2 linked regions of the Daphnia pulex genome follow. The main gene of each other region encodes a partner of the protein of the gene in region 2 in a complex. Links are inferred from orthologs where the notes say so. Each region holds a gene or a part of one and is shown on either strand. Other genes may lie near its edges. The genes, in order: ragulator complex protein LAMTOR2-like and ragulator complex protein LAMTOR5 homolog.

Region 1 (2,827 bases), about 5.2 Mb from region 2:
CTTGTCTACTACTAAAGCTTTCTTCTGGGCATATGCACCCCAAAGAAGGAAGACAACACCTTGGCAGTTACTGCTAATCCACTGGATCACGGCATCCGTCAGAGTTTCCCAGCCTTTGTCTTTGTGCGAATTTGCTGCGCCCGATCGGACCGTTAAGCCAGCGTTAAGAAGGAGCACACCTAAATATGTGAAATATCAATATAACAATTTTACGTGACTCTTATTTGAAGATTAAGACAAACGTTAAACTGTGATTGATTTTGTTTAAATGTCTACCTTGTTTGGCCCATCCAGTGAGATTACCATGTTTAGGAATATTAAAACCATCAATATCTGAAGCCAGCTCTTTAAAGATGTTTACCAAACTTCAAATAGTTTTGCAAAAATTAGACACAGTAGTTTTTAAAGTAAAAATTTTAAATATTACCTTGGGGGAGGAGGAACTCCTTTCAAAACACTGAAACACAAACCTTTTTATGAAACAAAAATGTAATGTCAATTCTTTATCTTAAAAGCCATAAAAGTAATTATTTTTTACTATACCATGAGCTTGACCAGGACCGTGATATGGATCTTGACCAATAATAACAACTTTGATATTTTGAATATCACAGAAATGGGTCCAAGACCACACAAGATGTTCTGGAGGGAAAATGGTGGACTTTGATCTTTCAGAACCCAGAAATTTACTAAGCTAAAAACAAAATAATGTAGGTAAATGAAAATAATTGTTATTCAAAGTTAAAAAAAAAGAAACATGTACATACTTCACCAAAGTAGGGTTTCTTAAACTCTGGCTCAATTGCTTGAAACCATGAATGACCAATACTATGGTGTAAGGCACAAGTATTCTTCGCTTGCAATTTTATTTTCGCTAACAAGTGGTTAGTGCCCATTCTTTCTTTTTTTTCAGGAGTAACTACTTCAGTCTTCTCACCAGATTTTTCTCCAACAGGCTAAAAATGAATAGACTTTACAAAAAATACCAGGCATGTATACACAGAACAAAAAAACCTACTTTGTTTTCAATTTGAACATTCTTGGCTTCAGCTGTCTTATTGCCAGACACAAGTTCTGAGAATGTACGCTTCACACCTCCACTTTGAAGAGGTTTAAAAAAATGAGTCAAAGGTTTTTGAGGCGGCATGATTTCTGACTTCAAGAAGCAACTTTAGTTCATTGTAATCATGATTGTAATTAAACACCAAAGTCAAAATAATCGGGCGCGAAATTCACCTTTGGACCAATCTGAAATGAATACATTAAGGCCACCTACAGCAGAAGAATTTGACAAGATTGAGTGAGAAAAAATTCCCTGGTCAACGGAAGGGGCGCTGCCGCTGCCGCTGCCTGAAGAAGAGATTGTCAGCCTGGCCTGGTTATGTAGGAAACATCCGCATTCATTTGTTTTTTTTTTTTTTAGTAAGAGACTAAGAGGAGTAGTGAACACTGAACAGCTGTACTCAGCCCTGACTCAGCTTGTGTCAAAACAGAAGATACCAACAAATCTAAAGAATGTTAAAACCAAAAGCTCTTACTCAAGTCTTGTCTCAAGCAAACACTGGCGGAATCTTAAGCACTTTGTAATATGGCGTGATACCTTAAAATAGTTAACGATTGTTAGTTATTTTTATTTATTTATTATCTTAATTTGTTATGCAGGCTTTTAAATACGGAGGGGGCGTTGCTAGCTTACAGGTGAGCAAAATGTGTTAAAATGTTTTACATTTGTTTATAGTGTTTAAACAATTTTGTGGCTTTCAAGTGGTTATGGGGACAAGGATGCACGAGTGACAGCAGCGATAGCTAGCAACATTTGGTCAGCATATGCTAAAAATGGGAAAGTTGCCTTCAATGAAGATGTCCTGGAATGTGTTCTTCTTGATTGCATGGTATTATTCAATTTAAAGTTTAGTAAACACAAATATTAATTTTGCCAATGCCTTTAAAGGATGGGAAAGTGGTGATTGCCCAAGTTGCTAATTTACTTCTATGTCTCTATGCTAAAGAAAATGTGTGTTTTGGAATGCTTCATGCTAAAGCAAAGGCATTGGCAGACTATCTTGATTCTCCTCTTCGTCAAGTAGCAGCATCATGAACATTTTTTTATAATACAAATTTGGATCTCCTAAAATTTAATGAAGCTGTGAAGCAGAGTTGTATTGCACTTGTGAATAAAAAGCAACACTTGTGAACAAGAAGTGTCAAAATGGCTGCAACGTGGATAAAATCCCACAAGGCTGGTTCTCTGCATAAATTTAGTTCAGTATTTGGTTCCTGGTACAAAAATCCCATAGCTTATTACATTCTTAACCCTTTCTGCTGAAGCACCTAAATAAAGAAACAACATTTTTAAATGCTTCCATCAATAGTAAATTGCAGATACTTACTTTGGCTCTATCAGTAGGCTCTGTTTCTCTTTCTCTCTTGTCACACTCTCTTGATACAACACACAGGAATTCTGAATGGTCTTCATTCCCATAAGAGTACTGTGACCCAACATTTATTAGCTATATAAAAAAAAGATTAGAATAAATAGTCTGTAGTAACTAATAAGATTGTCTTGTGTGTACACACCTGCTCAAATTTCCATCCATCAGACATAGTTGAAACCATTTGAGTTAATTCATCCTCATGACACTGTAATACACGGTAAACTTGCTTCCTACTTTCCTTCTGTGGTACCTCATCTCTTAGTCTTATTTTATCTCTAATTAACTGGATGAGTTCAGTAATATTATAGAATTCAGCTTCCTCTAGGATTCCTTCTTCAGCCAAGTTTTTATCAATAACTAGTTTGCTATGTCTCAAGAAGTTTAATATTGGT
Region 2 (2,550 bases):
ATATTTATATCGATATTATAAATTGCGTACAAGGCAAATCGATAAAGAAAGGAAGAAAAAAAGGAGCAAAAAAAACTAGCTTTTTACGTGTTTTGCTCTCCTAGTTTTTCAGGTCATCACTCTTTAGTTTTTATTTATTCTGTGGTACGGTAAGAATGGAGAAAAGTGATGCATCGTCCAAGAAGTCAACTTTTAAAAATTTTATTTTCATAATATTTCCCAGACTATTTCCCAGACAGGCGGAGTTCGGTCAGGCAATAATTAATCGTCTTGCGATTCTGCATTGGATATCTATTCTTTATTTCTCAACTCCCTTTCCAGATTCCTGAAAATGAACTATACGGATAAGGATCCCCCCCATAGGCTGGGATAACCGCGGATCGTTTATTTTTAAAAAACCTTGAAAAAAAAAAAAAAAAAGGCAATCTGTAAAAAAAAGCTACAGGTAATTAGGTATAGCGCAGTTAAAAATTTCTGCTGTTTACGACGTATACGCTCATGAAAATTTCTAGAATTTCTGATATGTACACAATGATATATTTTCACTTTTTCTTCCCATTGCATTAGGAAATTACTATTTGTAACACAAAATAGGCCCACATCTTTTAAAAAATAAACAGAAACAAACGAAATCGAGCACACCACTGCAGCTAAAGCACAAATTTTGAACCGAAGGCGTATACCAAAGGTTCTTATTTATTTTTTTTATCATGTGGCTTAAAGTTTGAATGCTAAGAAAAATAAAGAATATATGAGAACCTATTTGTATATCTACACAAAAACTTAGATTTCTCAGATTTTTTGCATTTATGTATTGGTTTTGTAGACGGCAAGAGTCATTCCCATATTCTGATGAATCAAACACTGACTGCAGAAACAGAAAAAGTTAAAAATAAATCAGCACTTAGAAAATAAAAATAACATAGAAAGACATTGTTACCATACCTTTCATGGTTTTCAAACAAAATGACAGGATCTCCTTTCCCAGGCTCTAATGTTGTTGCCAAATGTGACAGAGAAGTCAATGAGCCGGAGTAGTTTGAATTGGCAACACCTTGTGCTATATTATAAACAATGTGTTCATATTTATAAAAAAACAATTGTGTTTCAAAAAAGAAGCTTTTGTCTTACACGTTAAGCACATGCCCTGTCTGTCTGCACACAATACGCCCACTACTCCAGGCGAAGTCATCCTAAATCGACACAATTTTATGTTCCAATCGGTTTTTTAAATGTAACGATTTCTGATTTACTTACAATTCTTCAACACATTTTTGAACTTCTTTATCCATAATAGCAATGGTATTTTGTATAAACAGGAACTAACTGAAGGATATCAGAAACAGAAACCGACAGGCTAACAAAATCTTGTTGATTTATTTTGCTAGCACCTATTAACCATCTACAGTCTGCCACAGTAGAAAAGGAAGTGGAACTTGGGAAGCCTGTCAGAGACAGAGAGTCAAAACAATGTAGTCAAACTGACTCACCTCAAGGCCTGTCAACTGCAGCTGTTTATTGCAATTTCTGTTATTTCATTGTAAAACATTAGATTTGGATTTTTTAAAACGTAGAAAAAAAAACAATAATGTGAAAAGAAATTTAGTAGTATCTTATTAATTTATTATAACATTACTTTTTTTAGTTTTTTATTTTGGCCAGAATTTGGATGGTAGCGCTAGGTGGCAGGATTTAGCAGCTCGAATGATTTGGCATGGATGATTTGGTAAGACTTCTGAGGGTAGCGCGCAGCGCGTTAATAATTGATAGCAAACAGAGAAAAATTGGGATTCAGATTTAATTTGCTTTGGGAGACAAACCAGGGTAAAACATATCGCGATGTTGTGATACCGATACGGATTCACAAGGGAAAATTCCACTGTTTCTCCTTTGCAATGCGCGTTCCACGTTTACTGAACAAAAGCAGGAAGTATATCCATGTTATTTTGTAGAAATCTAATAATAGCTTCAATTATTTTTCATGAACAAATTTTTCTCTACTGTAATCCGCTACTTTCATCCAAATATAGCACTGATCGGGAGCAGAGGAATTCACGATTTAGACACTGACAATAAGAAATAAACTGGCATTCTGCGATCGCTCCATATATTTCCTGAAATACGAAAAAGTACGAAAAATAGCTGTGATAGAATGACATAAGCTGTAACTTAAAAATACACATTTTGTAAACATTTAAAAATTACGAGAAAATTAGAGCCGAGATATGAATCATTTTGATGACAAGAAATGTGCGTCAACTTTACGCTTTAAAGTCTCAATTTGTCCATGGCTATATTCCAATGTTTTTCGTTGTGAGCAGCTTCCATGAGCTCTTGGTGTTTGCGCTTCTGCCGTTCCAGATGATTAAACTCTTCTTCTCTTTGCTGTTTGTGATCAATTTGAGCCTGAAGATCTACTTTCGTTTGAAACTGTTTAGCTTTATTTTCCATTTCTTTCTTCTTTGCTTGATTATGATAGCTCTCGAGTGAATGAACCAGCTCTTCTCGATCGCGCAGCAGTTGCTGTCTTTCTTGTCGTGCAGCGATTAT

Evidence for each region.
Region 1: ragulator complex protein LAMTOR5 homolog (region 2) and ragulator complex protein LAMTOR2-like share a complex: the UniProt entries of both Homo sapiens proteins name them as parts of the ragulator complex. The link is inferred for Daphnia pulex from reciprocal best matches to the Homo sapiens genes LAMTOR5 and LAMTOR2.

Annotation. Positions count from the first base shown.
Region 1 is NC_060023.1:11,050,387-11,053,213, forward strand, and holds ragulator complex protein LAMTOR2-like, read left to right. Parts: upstream 1-1,403; 5' UTR 1,404-1,515; coding exon 1,516-1,583; intron 1,584-1,662; coding exon 1,663-1,698; intron 1,699-1,765; coding exon 1,766-1,892; intron 1,893-1,951; coding exon 1,952-2,098; 3' UTR 2,099-2,195; downstream 2,196-2,827. Other genes in the region: uracil-DNA glycosylase-like, read right to left, coding at 1-179, 277-365, 428-470, 544-694, 768-956, 1,019-1,147; BTB/POZ domain-containing protein KCTD5-like, read right to left, coding at 2,302-2,331, 2,391-2,510, 2,578-2,827. UniProt on the Homo sapiens protein: As part of the Ragulator complex it is involved in amino acid sensing and activation of mTORC1, a signaling complex promoting cell growth in response to growth factors, energy levels, and amino acids.
Region 2 is NC_060023.1:5,836,766-5,839,315, reverse strand, and holds ragulator complex protein LAMTOR5 homolog, read right to left. Parts: upstream 1,474-2,550; 5' UTR 1,293-1,473; coding exon 1,258-1,292; intron 1,194-1,257; coding exon 1,132-1,193; intron 1,061-1,131; coding exon 946-1,060; intron 869-945; coding exon 808-868; 3' UTR 796-807; downstream 1-795. Other genes in the region: trichoplein keratin filament-binding protein-like, read right to left, coding at 2,269-2,550. UniProt on the Homo sapiens protein: As part of the Ragulator complex it is involved in amino acid sensing and activation of mTORC1, a signaling complex promoting cell growth in response to growth factors, energy levels, and amino acids.